Linked DNA regions of Oryctolagus cuniculus. The protein of the gene in region 2 interacts with the protein of the main gene of each other region in a pairwise test. Links are inferred from orthologs where the notes say so. Each region holds a gene or a part of one and is shown on either strand. Other genes may lie near its edges.

The links. The genes of interacting proteins can lie anywhere in the genome.
Region 1: the proteins of NAIF1 (region 2) and SOX14 interact in binary tests that used the Homo sapiens proteins (3 or more experiments, as listed by UniProt). The two-hybrid records come from large-scale screens. The link is inferred for Oryctolagus cuniculus from reciprocal best matches to the Homo sapiens genes NAIF1 and SOX14.

The regions. Positions count from the first base shown.
Region 1 is NC_091435.1:143,914,377-143,924,290, forward strand, and holds SOX14 (transcription factor SOX-14), read right to left. Parts: upstream 5,891-9,914; 5' UTR 5,671-5,890; coding exon 4,948-5,670; 3' UTR 4,106-4,947; downstream 1-4,105. UniProt on the Homo sapiens protein: Acts as a negative regulator of transcription.
Region 2 is NC_091432.1:231,414,936-231,425,241, reverse strand, and holds NAIF1 (nuclear apoptosis-inducing factor 1), read left to right. Parts: upstream 1-3,447; 5' UTR 3,448-3,465; intron 3,466-3,606; exon of another isoform or gene 3,607-3,727; intron 3,728-3,851; 5' UTR 3,852-3,868; coding exon 3,869-4,379; intron 4,380-5,684; coding exon 5,685-6,157; 3' UTR 6,158-7,731; downstream 7,732-10,306. UniProt on the Homo sapiens protein: Induces apoptosis.

The sequences.
Region 1 (9,914 bases), on a different chromosome or scaffold from region 2:
GGCGAAGTTTTTCGGAAGTCTCTTCCCAACCTTGCCCGGGTCGAGTGTGAATCGCTTTTCCTCCGGGCCCAAGTGGAAAACTTTGGAGACGCCCTGTTTGAGTAGCGCGACCCCACCACTTTGTGGCAAAGAGGAAACTTGGGGCCTCCGTTCAGCCTCTGTCCCGCCCAACCATCCTCTCCCTTCTCAACTAAGACCGAATTTTTGGAGACTTTGCTGGGGTGGGGGGTGGGGGGAGGAAATCAGAGAGGATGCTTAGCGCAGACTCTAGCGAAGAGAAAGGAGAATCCAGGCAGGCAGCCTGGGGACACCAGGAACCGCGGACCTTGCCGCTTCCGGAGAGCACAACTCTCATTCTGGCGCCTGTGCCTGGGCACCAGTCCGTGAATGACCGCAGTGCCAGACGCAGGGCCAGGGGCTGGACCTTGGAGGAGGGAGCTGGGTCCGCTCTTTCCTGCTTTCAGACTCCTTCCCTGTGCGGGAGCAGGGGCCCACTCTGAGCCTCGGGTTCCGCGTCCACGCCCCAGGTGTCTAGCTCCCCCCACCACTCCACCACCCGCGTCCAACTTCCTTTTCTTAATTACGCTGCTGCGGCCAAGTGCCAGCGCTTCTGATTCGCGGCCAAGGCCAATCTACAAAGCGCCAGGAATGGAACCAGCTCAAGGAGCGCTCCTGCCGCATGGTGGGCGAGAGTCTGCGAGGCCAGGGCAAGGGCCAGAGGTCAGGGCGAGCGGGCCCTCGGCGGAAGCGGCAAGCACCCAGCTAACGGGGTCCTCTTCCTCTCCCACACTCACAAACGCACCCAGCCCACTCAGCAAAGAAAGAAGTGAGCATTCCGAACGTGGATCTTGCGAATCCCGCCACGTTCAGATTCAAAGGACTTGCGATTCATTGCCCACTTGAACAATGGTGACCAGCCTGGGCAGGGCAGGGCAGGAGCGAGGTGGGGGGAGGGTGGCGGGAGAGTTCTTGAGGGCAGTCCAGGCGCTGCTGCCCGCCAAGTGTTCAGGACCCCCACTCCCACCCCGCACCGCGCCCCGAGAAGTCTCAGGTTTTGCCAGAGAAGCTGCCCTGGCGGGAGCCGCTTAACCTAGGTGCGTGCGGTGTTCTGGGAACCCTGCCCTGACTGAAACACCAGCGCGATTAACACGATTTAACACGCAGGCATTGCCACAGCCTCGGAGGTCAGTCACTCACACCTCGGCGCGATTTACACACAGTAGCTGGCCGTCACAGCGCTTCTGAGGAAATTGGCACTTAAACAGGAAAACTTGGGAACTGAAGGGAATCACGGTTTCTGATCCCCCCGCGGAGAGGACGTAGGCCAAGGTACCCGCGTGTCTCAGAAGACGTGGCCAGTGTACCCCCGCGCCAAGAAACCCTTGCTAAAAACCCAAGCCCTCCTCCCGCGCCGCGCCAGGCCGCCAGCCCGAGAGCGCGCCATGGAGCTCTCCGCGGTGCTGAGAAACGCCCAGCACAGCGGCGGCGGGGCGAGCGCGGATGTTGTTGGGGTCAACTTTTTTTTTGTCCCCCAGAAACAAGGGCTCCACAGGCAGGAGGCTTGGGGCCTCCTGGGTACCCCTGCTCCGGGGAGGCCCAGGCGTGTAGCTCCCTGGCTGCGGGGCCGCGTGCCTAGCGCCGAGGCGGCGGCGCAGTCCCCCGGAGCGGGGTCCCGGGAGCCCCCAGGGCCGCCGAGTCGCGTCCTCCCGACGCCCGGAGTCCCTGCCGTGCGACTCCAGGCTGCTCCGGGCCGCGCGTCGCGGCTCTTCTGGACTTCCGCGCGGGCGGGGCGCTCCTCTCCCTACAGGTTTGCTTTAATGATTTTCTTGAAAGAAAGAGACAGTTGTGAGCAAACAGGTTTGACAGGGGCGGCCCCCCCAACACACACACATACACCCTCAGGGGATTTCTTTTTTGTCTGCGCCTGACTTCAAAGTCTGTAATCGGCCCCTGTCAGAGGCGTGACGGGGAGGATTGCGGCTGGTGCCGAGGGCGAGTCGCGGCCGCGCACCTCAGCAGAGTCTCTGCGGCCTGCGGGGGCCGAGGCGGGGACCGGCGGGAGCGAGGCGTGCTGGGCAGAGACGGCCTGAGCCAGGCCTGAGGCTTCGGGTCGCCGGGCCCACGCTGGACCCCCGTTCCGTGCGGGTTGGATAGAAGTGCGGGCACCTCTCGGCCACAGCGCACCCTAGCTTCCCAGAGCTCCCCTCCGAGTCCCCAGGGCCGGCGCAATCGGGAACGCTCGTTTCCGTGTTCCAGCTTCGGCCGCCGCCAGAGTTCTTCCGCTCTCGGCCCGGCCGGGTGCCCAGTTTCCAGCCTAACCCTACTTCGGAGTTGGCGGGGCACCCTTGTGGGGCCGAGCGCGCTGGACTCCTCCCGGGGGCTGGGCGCCGCCGCGCTGGGCTCTGCAGGGAGACACTCAGACCCCTGGAAGCTTCATCTTAAGAGATGTTAAGGGACACTGAGCTATGAGGGAGCTCAGAGCGCCTGACAGGACTGTCAGTTTGGGGATACATCAGACAGCGAAACCGCAGCGCCTCCGCCCCGGGCCTCCTGGGCTTCCTAGGGGGCGGGAGGAGGGGCCTTCCCTGTGCGCCCGGGGCCCGGGACCGGACGGCCACCAGAGGCAAGTCACTTCCTAATTGTCTCTATTTGTAAGAGGGTTTTGTGATGCTAAGTAAGCGTAGCGCAGCCCTCCCGGCCTCCCCCGCGCCTCCCCCAAGCTCGCCTTTGTTTACCTTCGCCTGATCGCTCATTTATTTATCTATCTATTATTTATAGGCGTCCCCTCCTATTCAGCTCCCGTGTATGTTAATTGTGTTATACCATTTAATTCTAACATCGGTCTCAAAAGAGCTCTTAATGAGAAAAGCATATACAACACGAATCACTTTGCCATTCAGCTCAGCCAGATGGACAACTGCTAACTTTTTTTTTTTTTAATAATGAAAATCCCCCTTTGACAAAGGGGCTAGGATGAATAGGATCCAAACAGCACCTCAAACACTTGTAATTGTTTTGAGGACAATATGCTAATCCGCGGGCTCCGGCTTGGGTGTCTGCTGACAACGGTTCCCCTGCACCTCGAACCACAGCCTCCTTTGGAGTCCCCAGTCCCCACCCCCTAGCAGCAGCAGCCGCGGCAAGCCTGCAAGCGCCTGGGCTGCCCCACCCCCAACCCGCACCCTACCGCGGCCAGCGAGAAGAGCGCGCGACCTGCGGGAGAACACGCGTGAGCGAGGCGGTGGGGGCGAGACTCGCAGGAGACAGAGGGTGGGGAGCGCCTTTGATTTTGAGAAGAAGTTCCAGAGAGTTGTGCTGGCTGGCATCAGGGTCCCCTCTCCTCGGGAAAAGCAGTAATCTTCAAGTAAACAAATATTCACCCAGAAGGGAAAGCGAAGGGCTCCTTTCCTTGTTTGTTAAACGCGAGTTATTTGGTTTTTATGATTTTTTTTTTTTTTAGAAAAACTCCTTGCCTGAGCCATGCCAATATCGCCTGTCTCTTCCCTTTGCTCCCAAATGGTCTTAGTAAAAAGTCTCTGACCATCCGGGACGCAGAGCTAGGTCGCGTCTTCTGGCATTTCTTAGGCTTTTATTTTCTAACTTAGGGACTAATAGCCAGATTCCCCATAGGAGCCAGCGGCAGTTTTTCCAGACACCTAAAGAAAAGCAAATCGATTCCACCCGGCTTCCCCCGAGCCTTGAACTTAAAGGTCCACCGCAGGCCGTGGTGCTCCGCGCGCAACTGGTTCCCGGGAGAATCGGCGCTTCTCCCCATTCCTTTCGAGTTTGGTTTAGAAAAGTTAACGCACCCAGACTCGGCCTTTGTCTTGGTTCATTGGCTTCTCGGAGTGGCCTAACCCTTTCGTGAAGAATGGGGCCAGGAGCGACGTCCCAGGGATGGATAAAGGCCTAGAACGGATCCCCCGGGCGTGATCCTGAGGGATCTCAGACTCTAGGTCACTTCGCAGCCGGCTCGCAGGCCGCCAGCTTCGGCCAGCGCAACGCGCAGCTCAGCCGCCAGCGATCACTGCCCAAGGCGCCTCCCCGCGACCCGACTCCCCGGCCCCGCTGCCCTGGCCTCCTGACTCCAGATTTTTAGGCACATCAAAGGTTACTTTTTGCAACGACAGATTGTCTTTATTCAAAACGTCTTTGTTCAACAAATGAACAGAGTAACGAGGTAAAATCCTTCCAGGTACATTTCCAAGACATCGTCAAAACATTTACCATTATTTAGGATGTTTTAATCCTTTTGTTGTTGTTCACTTTCCACTTCCTGACTTCGGAACCCGATTTTCTGTCTAACAGTAAACTTAGGTCTCTAGGAACACTGCTTGACACAAAGTAAATAACCATGTGGGTCCTTCTTGTTTTCCCTTTAAAGAAGCAAACACTATATCATAGCATGGTTTTAAATAGAAATGGTTCCCTTGCTGTAGTTTAAAACTTTTAAGCCTTTTTTCCCAAACATGAAGAATAAATGGCGCTTGGTTGTGTCTGATGGCAAGACACAGAGAAACAGCCAACTCTTTTTTTCTTCAGGGGCAGAAGAGGAAAAAAATATATATATATGCATATTCTAGATATAATACCAGGATCTGGGAGTTCGGAGTCCAAAGCCTATCCGAGGAGAGTGAAGGGGAGATAAATAAAGCAAAATTGCCTACTTCTTTGTCCAAAGGGGGTACAGTCGGAGATTTGGGGGAGAGTCAGGATAGGGGCAGCGCAGCTGTCAAAACGTCTGCAAGTTTCTGCACCTGTCCACGCCTCTGGTCGGTAGGACGCCCCTCCCTTCTCCCTGGAAGAGAGAGGCCGAGTCTGGGACCGGGTAAGGGGCGGCGGCAGGGCTGACCCAGAGGCTTCTGCAGGCCAGGCAGGGCTAGGTGCAGAGGACAGGGTGCAAACCCCGCTTCCAGGCCACCCCTCCGGTCCGGGCCAGGCCGGGGGTTACATGGCTGTGGCGTGGGCTGACGAATAAGGGTCTATGCCAGTCTTGGTCATGCCTGGAAAGAGGATGTAGGCGACGGGGGGCTGCAGGGTGGAGGCAGACCAGGCGGTACAGTTACAGGGCACCACGTAGCCCGGGTTGGTGGGGGACGGGTGCGTGTGCGTGTGCTGGCTGGGGCAGCTGAGGCTGCCGAAGGCGCCGTTCTGGTAGCCCAGGGTGGACGCGTAGGGCAGCGCGCCGGTGGCCAAGGTGTGGGGCACTTCACCCATCTTCTGGATGGCGCTCGAGCTAAACTGCGCGGGGTCCAGCAGGGAGTAGGGCGCCGAGGCCGGCGGCAAGAAGGCCCGGGCTTTCTCGGGCGCGCTCAGGAGGCCGTCGGAGGCCCCTACGGGCAGACCAGCCGCCTTGAGCGGGTCCGTGTCGCCCAGGTAGGGCAGGGGGAAGACATACCTGTCTTTCTTGAGCAGGTTCTTGGGCTTTCGCCGCGGCCGGTACTTGTAGTCGGGGTGCTCCTTCATGTGCTGGGCGCGTAGCCGCTTGGCCTCGTCGATGTATGGCCGCTTTTCTGCCTCGGACAAAAGCTTCCATTCGGCGCCTAGGCGCTTGCTGATCTCCGAGTTGTGCATCTTGGGGTTTTCCTGGGCCATCTTGCGCCGCTGGCCCCGGGACCATACCATGAAGGCGTTCATGGGCCGCTTGATGTGGTCTGAAGGTTTGGACATGGTCCCGGCGGCTTAGGCGGGCGGGGGTGGGGAGTGCAGGGCCTCCGAGGGCGAGCTTGGGCGCAGTTGGCCGTCTGTCTGTCCGTCCTGACCCGGGGCTCTGCGCTCCCCTCACCTCGGCGCTGCTGAGGGGAAGCCGGAGAGAAGAGCTGACCCCCCACAAAGTTCAGCTGATCATGCCAGTCCCAGCACCCAGGCAGCCCCCGGGGGGCGAGTGGGGGGCAGATGGGCGGGGGTGGGGGAGGCAAGGGCGACCGGCTGGCGACTGCGGGCGCCAGAGGCTGGGCCCAAGTGCTGGAGTCTCGGGTGTGGAGTGGCCAGGTAATTTTCTGGCGAGGGCAGGAAGCTCCTCCTTCTCCCCCTTTTCCACCTTCGCCTTCTCTCCTTCCCTTCTCTCCTCTTGCGCCTCTGGCCGTAGCTCCCCCCGCCCGTGGCTTTCCCGGAGCTGCCTCGCCCAGCGCTGCACCTGGCTGAGAATGCGGGGAGGCTGGTGAAGGAGAGCCCAAAGCGGCGAAGTTCAAAGGCGAGGTGGGCCCGGACGGCACGCACTCTGACATAAGCGCGGGGCGGCGACTCCCCAACCTGGGCGCCAATCAGCAGCAGAGAAGGCGGGGGTGGGGGGGCGCACCTGCCAACACGCGGGTGGAGGAGAGACCGAGTGCGACCAGCGGGGGCGGGGAGAGGTGTGAGGGGGAGAGAGACCCGGAGAGCCAGAGAACCGAGCGTCTGGCTCAGGGCTGGGGGCCTGGGTTCCTTATTGTCTCTGGACTGTCAGCAAAACTCTTCGCGTCTCCCGCACTCTTTCCCAGTTGTGCCAGGGAGAATCAGTGCTTCGAATTTCGAGATCCGGGTAGGGGACAAAAAAGGGAGCGAGGCAGAGCTTGTGTTGATAAATAGGACAATCTCGCCACGAAATGCAAGGACAGCACTCCCCTCCCTTGCCAAAGATCCTTGGAAGAGCGAAAAGAATACATCAAACTCAGGGTAAAAAGAGAAATAAACTTTTCGCGCTAGACCACCGGGGGTCCATTGGCAGTGTTCTCTCAGGACTCCCCTGAGGCTGGGTCTCTGCGGCTGCCCCAGGACGCCGCGCCAGGGTGTAGCTCTGCGCCCCGGGCCCGAAGGGGAGCCCTGTGCAGCGAGCCGACGCCCAGAAACCTCGCGGGCGCAGCTGCAGAGGCTTCGAATCCCGGCCGATGCGCCCTTCAGCGCGCCCCCGACCTGCTCCCCACTTCCCAGAAAGAAGTGGAGGAGGGTTGGATTTCCATCAGGGTTCCCATTTATATTGCTATTATTTAATGCTCGTAAACCTTCAACTTTCCCTCCTCGATTGTCCAAACAGGTAGAGACGGCTGGCGGCAGCTGGCGGCGGCGGCGGCGGCGGTGGTGGGGCTTCCCAGCCCCGCTTCAACGGCGGCCCTAGAGCAGTCTCCGGCTGTAGCTGCAGCCGGGCTCGGTTTGTCCCTGGGCGCCTCTTCCCACCCAGCGAGGCAGCGAGACTCGTTTCTAGAGTCAGATGAGCATTCTTCGGGTAAAGAGGACGAAATAACCCGCAGAGCCAACCTGCGCGCCTGTTTCCTTTGAATAATTGCCTGCCCGATGTGAAATGCCCTTGGGGGAAATATTTATTAAATGGAAACTATTGTCCCGGGCCCGGAGGGACCTGCGTGTGTTCCAGGCTTATTGGCTTTTGCACCAGCCTCTCTCGGGAGGACGGGCCGGAAACCCCGCACCGGCTCAGTCAGCCAGGAGTGGGGGAGGTAGGCGGGAGGCAGCAGGGGAGGGTCTGTCGCTAGCATGTGCTGTATGGAGTTTGAGGACTTCGAGTCTCCCTCCTAAAATTAGACTCTTTTACCCTCAGCATGGATCTTTAGAGAGATGGGCACTATCCCCCATTTTACAGATTGGGAAACTGAGATCGAGGAAAGGTTCTGTGATTTGCCCAAAGTGACGCTGGTGGGAGGTGATGAGACCCGGTGTATAGGAGGATTTGAAAACCCCTACACTTCCCCCATCCCGGCGGCGTCACGTGAGAGGATTTGTCTGTGCAGCTGCCAAACGTGGTGGAACCTTTGACGAGACTATTGGAGCCATCGAAACCTGCCCTGTAGATAAACTGCGCCAAAGGACAGATTTCGCTTTTGTTCGCTTAGGCTCCAGTTGGAGAACCGGCTTGCTTAAGCAAGCACTCCCAACCACCAGCGTCACCTCCGCGCGGGTTGAGGAGCAGGTGCACCAACCTTTGCATTCCTTCTCAACGGTAGCTGGGACCACCCTCCGGAAGCCTGCTTCTGGCCTTCCGTCCTTGTTTTCTCTGCACTCAGTGTGGGACTTCAAGAAGCAGAAGCACTTTCCATTCCAGGTGAGGGCGGCTTTCCAAACATCGCAGGCAACCCCTAGCGGTGCCAAACGCCCAGAGCCAGTCAGGGTTAGGAGGTGCAGGGGCCACGCGATTCTAACTCTATTGGGCAACCCAGACAGCTTTGGGAAGGAACCAAAGGATATTCAAGTCTGCAGAGAGACGCAGCTTCCAGCAGGGACCAACCAATTTCCCACTTTGGAACCCTCCGCGGGACGCGGCACCCACTGCCCGAGGTTTGGGTTAATGCAAATCAACCTCTTGGAAACTGCTTAAGCACGCTGTCCTGGATGTTTCTCTTAGCTCAGCCTTCAGGCCGACCCGTTCCAGTGGTCGCGAGGAAGACAGTCGCACGCCCTCCTTCAATGCCTCCTATTTCCTCTTCTAAGCACCGCGCTCCTCTCCAGCCTCTTGAGCTCAGCCCTAGGGAGCAATCCAAGAGCTACTCACAACCCAAGAGCTATCTGCGAGCCGGTGCGGATTATCCCAAAGAGCGAGCCAAGGGTGGCAGGCAGTTTGTGGGCAGAAGGCCCTCCACCTCTAGGGCGCCCGGGGCCCCATGCTTCCTGGTCGGGTTGCAATGACTCGGGCGGGCGCCAGCCTCTAGCCTAGGGAAGCCCGAGCGGAGGGCGACACCTTTCAGGCCGCGCATCTGCTACCTCCTGGACGACCTGCCCAGCCGCGCCCATCCTGTGGAGTCCTGGGAGTCCATGGGTCCATTCCAGACTCCTCAGGCGGCTGGGCGCAGGAGACCCGATGATTCCGGGGTCCCGGCTGGCGCTGTCTCCAGCTGGGTCATCACTCCGACTTGTGCGTTTCCGCCAGCGAGTTCAGGAGAGGTGACCCCTGGGGAGGAGATCCAGCAGCTTTTGCCATAGCCCAAAGGCCTTAGGACGGAGCGTTCCCTAAAGGCTCCTCTAGCTCTGGCCGCAGCCTGCCGTTCAGGCCTCAGGCTGCCATCCCATTCCCCAGGCCGGTGGCATCTCTGGGATGAGATCTCTTCTTCTGCATGTCCTGAACGCGGGATTCATTTTTTGACTCCGCGACTCCAGGCACGCGGCCTGCGGGCTTTAGCTGGGTGTCTGAAGCCCCGAACAACGCGAATTCTGTCAGCGAACCCTCCCTGCTCCAGTCCAGGGGCAGGAGGTTGTCCTGGGGAGTCTCTCCTCTCCTCCGGCTTCCCTCCGCCGCGCCCAGGGTCCAGGATGTGCCCCTTGCTCTTTGGAGGCTTGGAGCCTTCACAGGGCGCCTCTTTCCTCTTTTGTCCCAACTCCTTTGCAGACCTCAAGTGTCAGTTAAGGCTAATCACCCGCTGGGCCGGGACTGCTTCCACTTTGCCCCGCTCACACTTACTCAGCGTCGCTTAGGACTGTCGCAGCCGGGACAGTGCACCAGCCTTCGAACTCTGCGAGGGCAGGGCTGCGTGGCGCGCATCTTTGGGTGTCCAATGGGCACGCAACTCCTGACGCTCACTGATGTTTCTTTCTGCCCAGGCCCAGGTAAACGTTGTGCACACACCTCCCTCCCCTGATGCCCCGCAGCAGCCCAGTAGAGACCCAAGCGGAAGTCTGGGGCCTCGAGGCCTGTACCCACCTGCCTGGCCTCCAGGCTCCGCTCCGCACTCCATCCCGTCCTGTCTGGTGGGCAGAGCTCATGGTTCCCAGGCCGGTGGGACTGGGAAAAGGCTGAGTGCTCCGAGGAAGCTGCGCAGACCTTGGCTTGGATTAGGCCATTGAAGGTGGAAGGGAAGAGGGCAGGTGGCGCTGAGACCCGGAGGCTTTCGGAAGAGAGCGGGGGAGTTGCCTGCGTGCCACAGGCCCTGTGCTCAGCACTCAGCGGTACCATTCCTTCCTGGTTCTTGTGGCCCCTCGGGGTTTCGGGCGAG
Region 2 (10,306 bases):
CACCTGGAGAGCCGGCTGTTTACACACAGCCCAGCCTGCCTGCTTCCTATAATTGGCTAAACTGTGTTTTCAATTTGTTTTAAGACAAAGAGTTTGCTTGGTCACATGAAAATGCCTTAAATAGGCGATGCTGTAATTACCCGGCTGAGTCTCGAAGCTTGCTCTGCTTTCCTTTCCTCGGCCAACCCTCCCCTTTTGTCCCGGGATTGGTTTCTTCCTCTCTCGCCCTTCACAAAGAAAATCCCCCTGGCTGGCCGCCCGGGGCTTCTCTGCCCACTTCCATCTTAAGTCATTTTATTTCCTCTCTGAGAGTCTCAGCCTCTTCTGAAATCAAGACAGCGAAACTTGCTGGTTCATCTTTAAAGAAAACTTGGCCCCAGGCATTAGAAGAGCCGGAGGTTCCGTGGAGTCACGTGGCCTGGGTTTCCGCCTCTCTCCAGCTGACTCCTGTGGGATCTCAAATGCTTCCCACGGGGCAGGGCACGCGCTTCCAGAGGTGGCTGTGGTTTCTAATTCTTCTCTCACTGCACGTGAGCCATCCTGAACCCAAGGGCCCCCAAGTTCTCCTCTGGCTCCTGCTTTTTCGGGAGGCGGCTAATCCTGAGCTAATTCTACAGGAAGTGGTGCAGGGGGTGTCTTCCAGTTGCCCAGTTACACTAACGAGGCAGATTTTCTCTCCAAAACGTGAAGTTTCCCCCAGGACTAACTGTGCCCTTGAAGGCAATGAACTCACTAAAGTGAATCATCCCTCTCAAAGGTGTGTATCAACCCAACTTGTCCCAAGGCTGAAAGGATTCTAGAAACAGTCCATGCCAAGGCCACACAACTCAAACAAACGGAACGCTTCCTGTCACAGAACTCAGGTCCAGAGTCCAGGGGGCCCCGGGGGGCCAGGCTCCCTGTGCTAAACACAGGCCTCCTTTCAGGACTGGGGAGAGAAAGACTCGCTCTCTCCGCTGCGCTGTAGGCAGATTCACTGCCCCCCAGGATAGACTGGGGGCCATCGATATCACATGTGCCACGAATCAATATCACATGTGCCACGAATCAATATCACATGTGCCACAAATCAACGTCAGATGTGCCACGAATCGCCAGCTCATCGCGACAGCTCATCGCGGAGGCAGAAAGCGTGGTACAAACACGGCCACTCCCGCAGCAGATGGCCTCAGCGTGCTTGGCAGGGCTGTCAGGGGCCAGGTTCACAGGAGCAGCCAGGGCCCGGGCCCACACCTCGCTGGACGTCCCCCACCCACCCAAGTTAGCCATCCCATCCACCCAAGTGACTTACTCATCAGATACAAACCGGAAAACCTGGGGGCTCACAGCAGTACTTTGTGTAATGCTGACTTTAACCTTTTATTCCAAAGCTTGTCTAAACCTCCTAGACTTAACCCAGCGATTCTATACAGCCTTTGGTCTTGCTAGGCTGATAGGAGGCAGGTGACAACCCTCGGATGTTGACTCAAGACAGCCCGGGCTGGAGTTAACCCCTTCGTACCTGCCCCCCAGCAAAGTGGCTGAAGTCGCTGGCGTTCGTGCTCAGCTAGGAGATGGCCAACTGCTGTACGCACGGCGGACCCGGCGAGCTAACAGGCTACCACGGGAAGCGCCTGGCAGTCTGAGACATCCCCGGCGTGGCCAGGGTGTCCACAGACGTCCCCGGCGTGGCCAGGACAGCAGCCAGGGCGTCCACAGACGTCCCCGGCGTGGCCAGGACAGCAGCCAGGGCGTCCACAGACGTCCCCAGAGTGGCCAGGACAGCAGCCAGGGTGTCCACAGACGTCCCCAGCGTGGCCAGGACGCGAGCGATGCGCTCCCCTTTCAGGTGGCCCCCACTTTCTCGTATAGAATTTCCCCTGGGGTTCTTTCCCTCCGTGCACAGTGCAACCCTGCAGGGGATCGCGCGGCGCCTCCAGCAGCAGAGCTGTCAGCCTCAACACCCACGTGCACAGAGCTGCTGAAACCCGGTTCCCCTTTTTCCCAGCTCCCACATGCTTCGCTTCGGAGAGGAACCCGCTGGCGGCCCGCGGGCGGCGGGGGCGCGCCGGGGGAGGTCGGAGCGTGAGGAAGGCACCCTCCTGCGTTTGGGGGAAAGTCTTAGCAGGAAGCAGCTTTTCGGCCACCAGAAAGCCCGGAGGGCGCCCACTGTGTCCGCAGAGCCCAGCCCCCAGAGAGGCCCGGAGGGAAGCCCACTGCCACCAGAGCACGAAGGGGGGGTGTCCACCTGTCAGTCACCGGCCCCCAGCCTGCGAACACTCGGGGTTCCGCCCAGGGCACGGCGCCTTCCGCTCGGACCCGCCCACGCTCCAAGGGGCTGCCCGAGACGCCCGGACTCCAGACCTGCCCCCCGCGGCCAGGACCTGTCACCCAAGCCCCCGGGGCCCCCGCCCCGCCCGCGCGGACGGACCGTGCGCGCCGCCTACCCGGAGCTCGCCCTCGGTGCGGTGCAGTCCGAGACGCCGCAGCCCCACGGCCAGGTCGTTGACACACAGGCCGCCGTCGCGGTTCACGTCGAGCGTCTGGAAGAGGCTCCACAGGCGCAGCCGGTGGTCCGGACCTCCGCAGACGGCGCCGCCGCACGGGTCCCCCACGGAAGCCGGCGACGAGGCGGGCGACGAGGCGGCGGCGGCGGCGTCCGGCGGCGGGGAGGCCACGCAGCGGCACAACACGCTGCTCACCATCGGGCGCGAGGCTGGGGCGCCGGGCGCGGGCGGGGGCGGGGGCGGCGGGCCGGCGGGCGGCGCGGAAGGCACGCCGGTCTCCTCGGACGGCGAGCGCGGGCTCCCAGAAGCCGGCAAGCTGGCGGGAGGGGCCGCTTCCGGGAGCCCCGCCCCGCCGCGCCACGCCTCCCGGGCCACGCCCCCGGGCCGACCTCCGGCCAGTCACAGGCCGGGACGGCGACCGGGACTGGGCGGGCCGCGGGGCGGAGCCTGCCTGAGAACTACCCGGATCGATGGAAAAGGCGGGGCCGTCCCTGCTCAGCCCGGGGCCGATTCAAACTGAGCGAGGCGGGGATTGGCTGAGCCGGCCGGAGAAGCATGCATTCACGCAGCGATAGGCCGAAGTCGTGTGATTGGCAGGCGGAAGGCCTCGTGTCCAATTTCCCTTGAGAGACGCAGTTTAAGGCTGCGGAAGCGTAAGGCTGGTTGGAGCGGTCGTAGCCTTCCGTGGAAAATAGAACTATCAGGAGAGCAATCGTGAACTGCAGATGTGAGGCAGTTTGTGCTTGTGGGTGGAATTAAAAATTAATGAGCGAAGGCACCAAGTATCCTTAGGATACCGGGTTTTGATAATCTAACTCCCTAGACCACCAATAAAATAGCTGAATTTAACGGCGTAATGGTCGTAATACTGATAATTGAACGACAGAACGACTTTCCAATAGAAGTGAATAAAGGCTAGGTGGGCGGAGCGCTCTCGAGCGACAGACATACCCGTAGACCAATGAAAAGGCTAATTCCAGTAAGTAGGCGTACTCTTTAGCTGAGCGACCGACCGAACAAGCCAGTGACCGACGCGATACTTGAGCTTCGCCCAATCGGGGGGGGCGGGTTCTCCTGGAGAAGCACTGGGAGGCGGGAAGAAGGGAAATGGGCGGATCTCCGCACACCCCGGCGGAAGAGGCAGATTCAGGAAGCCATTACGCAGCTGGCTGGCCGCGGCCGGGCGGGTCGAGGCTGGGCCCTACGCATTTTGCGTAGCGAGGGGGGTTACTAAAGTCCTGGTACTTGGCCTTGAGCAAGCCGAGCCTATCCCCTGTGGGGGTGGGTGGGCGAAGGGTGAGGCCGAGGAAGGAGAAAGGGGAATTGAGGCAGGTGAGAGAATTACAATTTTTTTTTTTTTTTAAGAGAGGAAGGTAGTGGCCATGGCCGTGCCAGCCAAGAAGAGGAAGATGAACTTCTCTGAGCGGGAGGTGGAGATCATCGTGGAGGAGCTGGAGCTGAAGAAGCACCTGCTGGTGAACCACTTCAACGCTGGGGTCCCTCTGGCCGCCAAGAGCGCGGCCTGGCACGGCATCCTGAGGAGGGTCAACGCCGTGGCCACCTGCCGGAGGGAGCTGCCTGAGGTCAAGAAGAAGTGGTCAGACCTCAAGACCGAGGTCCGGCGCAAGGTCGCCCAGGTCCGGGCCGCCGTGGAAGGTGGCGAGGCCCCGGGGCCCACTGAGGAGGATGGCGCCGGTGGGCCAGGGACAGGTGGTGCCGGTGGCGGCGGTGGCCCGGCGGTAGCCCCCGTGCTCCTGACCCCCATGCAACAGCGCATCTGCAACCTGCTGGGCGAGGCCACCATCATCAGCCTGCCCAGTGCCACAGAGATCCACCCCGTGGCCCTCGGACCCACGGCCACTGCAGCCGCGGCCACGGTCACCCTGACACAGAGTGAGTGACCTCTCTGCTCAGTTCGGCGTGGATGGGAAGGGCCAGCAAGCGCTGGGGCTGCCTGGGGAAGATGGGCTGCCGAGGGTCAAAGGTCAGAGGGGGCCCCTTCCGGGGGCTCCCCAAGGCAGCAATGATCTTGACCTCTTTGGGACCTCCTCAGCACGTGGAGTGGACTCCCTGGGGGCCGAGTGGCGCTCTCCTGCGTTTGGCCACCATTCATGCTTGTGGCTGAGCTCCACCTGCTGAGCTGTGTGGTCCCTGAAGACAGAGGCCGTGACAGGACGTATGTGTGGGGTGACTAGAGGGCAATCATAGTGCCCCAGGGACACAAAGACAGAGGGGTTCTGTGTTTCCAGGGCGGAGCAGGGAGCCTCCAGACTCCTGGAGCCACCTGCTCATTCATTCACCCATTCCGCGAGCGCTGGCTCTTACGCCGTGTGTGCTGGGAGTGCAAAACACAGGCCGGTTCAGGGCTGGGAGGACGGATGAGGGCGTGAGTGAGCAGGTCCACCAGCACTTGGGAAGGCCTGAAGACTCAGAAGAGGAAGGGGCTTCCTGGCTGGCGGGGCGGGGTGCACAGGTCCCTGTGCACTCAGGCTCCGGCAGCCCAGCTGGGATTCCTGGAAGTTCTGTGCTGTGGCTGACAGCAGATCTACCTCGGGCTGGGGCTTGGAGTTGAGATGAGGGGCTGTGCCCGTGGCTGTGACCTCTGCTGATGTGTGCCGGGCTAGGAACTGCATCAGCCAGTGAGTCCCAGCGGGGCTGGAGGAGCTGGCCGTGTGTGTGAGTGCCATCCCCCTGCAGTGTCACGTACAGAGACCGCGGTCTCGGTCAGGTCCTATTCTGGAACAGGATGGCGATTCCGGTACCCCTCTGACCAGGGTGACCAGAAAGACAGGGAGGTGTTGGCTGGGCACGCTAGCCGATGCTGTTCCATTCTCGCTTGTTTCTGTCTGGTTACGGGGGACATGGACGCCAGGAAGGCAGCCAAGGAGGTAGGACTGGTGCGGCTGCAAACAGCTTGTGCAGGCGCCTGAAGCCCGGCCTCTGATGCCCCCTGCTAGCCAGAAGCGGCCTCACGGCAGGTAAAGAATTCACAGATCCTGGCCCCTAGCGGGTGCCCTGCAACTTTGGGGAGCACCATTACTGGTGTCTTTGCGTCTGCCAAGTCCCCTTGGCGACCAAGGTTAAGATGGCAAACATCGGGCTCTCTATAAGCCAGGGCCTCCTCCCCACCCCTCACGGCTACCTGCATCCCTTCCAGAAAGTGACCTGCCCCTGCCTTGGCTCTTTCTCCCCCTGCAGTCCCCACAGAGACCACCTACCACACGCTGGAGGAGGGCGTGGTGGAGTACTGCACGGCTGAGGCGCCCCCAGCCCTGCCGGCCGAGGCGCCCGTGGAGATGATGGCCCAGCACGCGGACACGCCCGTCAAGCCGCAGGCACTCAAGAGTCGCATCGCCCTCAACTCGGCCAAGCTCATCCAGGAGCAGCGGGTCACCAACCTGCACGTGAAGGAGATCGCCCAGCACCTGGAGCAGCAGAACGACCTGCTGCAGATGATCCGCCGCTCCCAGGAGGTGCAGGCCTGTGCCCAGGAGCGCCAGGCCCAGGCCATGGAGGGCACCCAGGCGGCCCTGAGCGTGCTCATCCAGGTCCTCCGGCCCATGATCAAAGATTTCCGCCGCTACCTGCAGAGTAACACGCCCAGCCCGGCCTCCGCCTCTGAGCCCGGACAGGTGGCCCAGAACGGGCAGCCGGACAGCATCATGCAGTGAGGGCAGGGCTGTGATTGGAGGAAACCTCCGGGGTCTCGTAAGCGGCTTCTGTGATTGGTGGGCCATGTGGACAGCCCTCTCTCTGATGGACACGGAGGGTCTGCGGGTTTTGAGACATGAAGGAGACCAGGAAGAGGAACCTGTTGGGCTCCTGGGACCCCAACTCTCTCGCTCTCACCCCGCTCGATCCGGAAGATGGGATAGCTAAGGGGTCGCGCCCTGTGTGCTGGGGGTGGGACACGCCCCATACCGGGTCTCAGAGAACTGTAGAAGGCAGCCGGCCCTCCCTGCGCCATCTCCCAGCCGGGCCCCACGCTGGGCCGTCCGCTGCAGATGCCAGCCCTTTGAGGGAGCTCTGGCCAGCGGTGCTGCCGGACAGGCGGTAATGGCGTCTTCCCTGGGGAGGGGGCCCGGCTGAGCCTGAGGAGGGCACTGCCCCCAGCTGCTTCTCACTGTGCCTCTGTTCTCAGGGGATTCCTGCTCCTGCGCCCGGGCACGGCCTCCGCAACCCACCCAGCTGCAGGCAGCCCAGCTCGGGCCTGCCGTGCGCCGTGGGGGTGGCCGGGCGGCGCTCTGGTCTTCCGCAGCGTCTCTGGGCAGCCCGCTGGTGGCCTGCCCCTGCAGCTGCCGACTCAGGTCAAGCTTTGGGTGCTGTCCATTGTAGAACAAACCGGGGTGGGCGCTGTTGCCCTGCAGCAGGGGCCTGGGGCAACCTGGTAGTTCCTTCCGGAAGAAGTAGCTTCGAGCTCCTTGTATTTATTCTGAACCCCTCCGGGAAGGCAGCTCTGTGGCCAGCCCCTTTCTCCTGTCCTCTCCTCTGACCACGTTTCCAAAATCGAGCGCCGAACAGCCCAGCTCGGAGTCTCCTCCCTCACTGTGCCATTCAGGACCTCGAGTGCTGGCGAGACGCCCTGTGGCCGAGTGGACCCAACGCCATGAGGGTCCCTGCATGTGGGGGGTGGGAGGGGCGCAGCTGAGCTGGGGGCACGCTGCGGGAGCACTGCGCCCTGTTTGGAAGGACAGCACCCAGAGGGCATCTGCCTGTCTCATCGTCAGGCTCCCCTCGATTACCGGGGCCCCTGCACCTCCCCAGACCCTTCCTCCAGGGGCGGCCTTGTCACAGGCATCTTGGCCACGCGTGACCCACGGTCCAAAGAGAAGGCTGCGGGTCTCAGCTGCGCCTGCGCTGAAAATGCCCTTCTGGGCACAGTGTTGGAACTGTTCCGCTGCACTGCTACACACACTGGGAGGTGGCCCCCACGACAGCCGGGGGGGCACGCGGGCAGCACCAGCTCCGGCGGGGTGGAGGCGGCTCCGGCCCCACGAGGGTGGGCGGCGGAAGGCAAGCAGCAGCCCCCAGAGCTTGGGCATGCTCACTCCGTGCAGCCTGGGGGCCCCAGCAGGAACTTGCTAAGGCTCTGTGGCTTGGTTTGGTTTTTCTCTGGGGTTAGAAATCTGAGCCAGGATTGTGTCTGCTCCACGTGGGTAGAACGAGGAAGCCTGGGTCGCTCACATGGACTCGTTCCTTCCAGGTCACGATTTTAAATTAAAGGGATATCACTTTTCATACACACATCTCCGTGTCTTTTTTTTTTTTTTTTTTTTTTTTAAGATTTATTTATTTGAAAGGCAGTTACAGGGAGAGAAGGAGAAAGAGATCTACCTGCTGGTTTGCTCCCCAAATGACCTCAACAACCAGGACTGGGCCAAGCTGAAGCCAGGAGCCAGCAACCAGGAACTCCACCTGCGTGGCAGGAGCCCAGACACCTGGGCCATCTTCTGCCTCCCCAAGCGCATGAGCAGGAAGCTGGGTCAGAAGTGGAGCAGCTGGGTCTTGAACCAGGGCCCATGTTGGGTGTCCATGTAGCAAGCTGTGGCTTCACCTGCTGCACCACATTGCCGGCCCCCATTTCTTTATCTTTTTATTGTTTATAAACAGAAGAGAGCAGGAGCGGGTAGACTATGGCACACAGGCCAAATGTGGTCCAGCATTTATTCATTTATGTTGACAGGCAGAGTGAACAGTGAGAGAGACAGAGAGAAAGGTCTTCCTTTACCGTTGGTTCACCCTCCAATGGCCGCTGCAGCCGGCGCATCGCGCTGATCCGAAGCCAGGAGCCAGGTGCTTCTCCTGGTCTCCCATGGGGTGCAGGGCCCAAGTACTTGGGCCATCCTCCACTGCACTCCCGGGCCACAGCAGAGAGCTGGCTTGGAAGAGGGCAACCGGGACAGAATCCGGCGCCCCAACCGGGACTAGAACCCCGGGTGCCAGCACCGCGATGGAGGATTAGCCTAGTGAGCCACGGCGCCGGCCCCGGCATTTATTTTTGTGAATAAAGTTTTATTAGAACACAGTCTGGGGGAGAATTACCCAACCCAGGCCTCACTGGAAAGCTGAGACAGACTCCTACATAGACTCAAACGCAGCTGGGAGCCACACCCTGCCCCAGGGAGGACAGGTTCCCATCCGGGGACACACGCGCCTTGGCTCCCAAGGGCTCGGCCTCCCTGGACCCGGGGCCACGCTCCCCAACATCTAGCAGTGGTGACAGGGAGGGGACCGCCCTCCACCCAGCCTGAGCAGGATCTCACTGACTCCTCGCGACAGCCCCAGGACGTCGGTGCACACGGTGTCCTCAGTGTGCGGATGAGGGCACTGAGCATCAGAGAGGTCAGACAAGCTGCCCGAAGCCACACAGCCCCCGCTCCTCCCTCCTGGCCTAGCTCCTCCCTCCTGGCCTAGCTCCTCCCACCTCGTGGCAGGATGTGACAGCACCTAGAGTTGATTTGAGCCTGATCTTGACAAGCTGCTAGGTCACGCGGGGCTCCCAGGCAGCCCCCCTGGGAGCCCCCGGGGCTGTTTTCCTCGGTGCTTGACCAGGAACGTGGTGAGCTCTCCTACTCACCCGGGACTTCAGATGTACCGCTTCCGGGGGAAGTGAGGATCAACCCCCCCGCGCCCCGGTACCTGGATGGTGCTGGTGGGGTGCTGTCACTTAGGTTGTGCCTGAGCGAGTGCACAGAGGAGCACCACACACTGGTAAAATGTGGCGGTCAGAGCGGGCTCATACCCTAAAGAACTCGGCCCAGAAACTCAAAGCAACAGGGTTTATAAATGCAAAAACCGCAGGGAGGGGAGGGGGAGTACATGGTCGCCAGGGTCGGGCTGACCTAAAGCATATGCTAAACTCTCAGTTACAGTCCCGACAACACCTGTTACAGTCTGCACATAGTCAGGGTGCCGCCCACATCCTACGTGGGCACAGACAAATTACAATCTTTTTTATTTTTATTTTTATTTTTTTGACAGGCAGAGTTAGACAGTGAGACAGAGAGAGGTGCTTCTCCTGGTCTCCCATGCGGGTGCAGGGCCTAAGCACTTGGAGCATCCTCCACTGCCCTTCCGGGCCACAGCAGAGAGCTGGCCTGGAAGAGGGGCAACCGGGACAGAATCCGGCGCCCCGACTGGGACTAGAACCTGGTGTGCCAGCGCCGCAGGTGGAGGATTAGCCTAGTGAGCCGAGGCGCCGGCCGACAAATTACAATCTTAACATTAATCCAGGTGCAGCCTATCTGTTCCAAGCCCGAGCGATCACGCCAGGGGATTTCTATGTTTCGCCGAGCAGGATGCAGTGCGCGGTCGTTGTCTTAGGTTAGACTGTAGTTAGTCTCAGGCCGTGGTCTCATGGTGCGGGGTGGGAGTGGGGGTGGTGCTCCTCACTATGGAGTCTTGGGAGCTCTCAAATGGAGTCCCTCTTGTCAGGGTGTCCCTTCAACATCAGGGCGACACTGTGGAATTGTTGTTAAGGTTTATTTATTTATGTACTTGAAAGGTGGCGTGGCTGAGAGATAGTCCATGCCCTGGTTCACGCCACACATGGCTGCAATGACTGGGGCTGGGCCAGGCTGAAGCCAGACACCTGGAACTTCACCCGGGTCTCCCACTTTGGTGCTGCGGGCCTAAGCACTTGGGCCACCTTTCACTGCTTTCCCAGGGGTGTGAGCATGGAGCCGGAAAGAACCGGTGCTCATGTGGGATGCTGGCGTAGCCGACAGCGGCTTAACCAGCTGCGCCGCAGTGCCCAGCCCGCATCTTTCACGTTTTCAACCTTGTTGAAGGAAGCCTTTCACGCAGGTATGCTTGGTAAC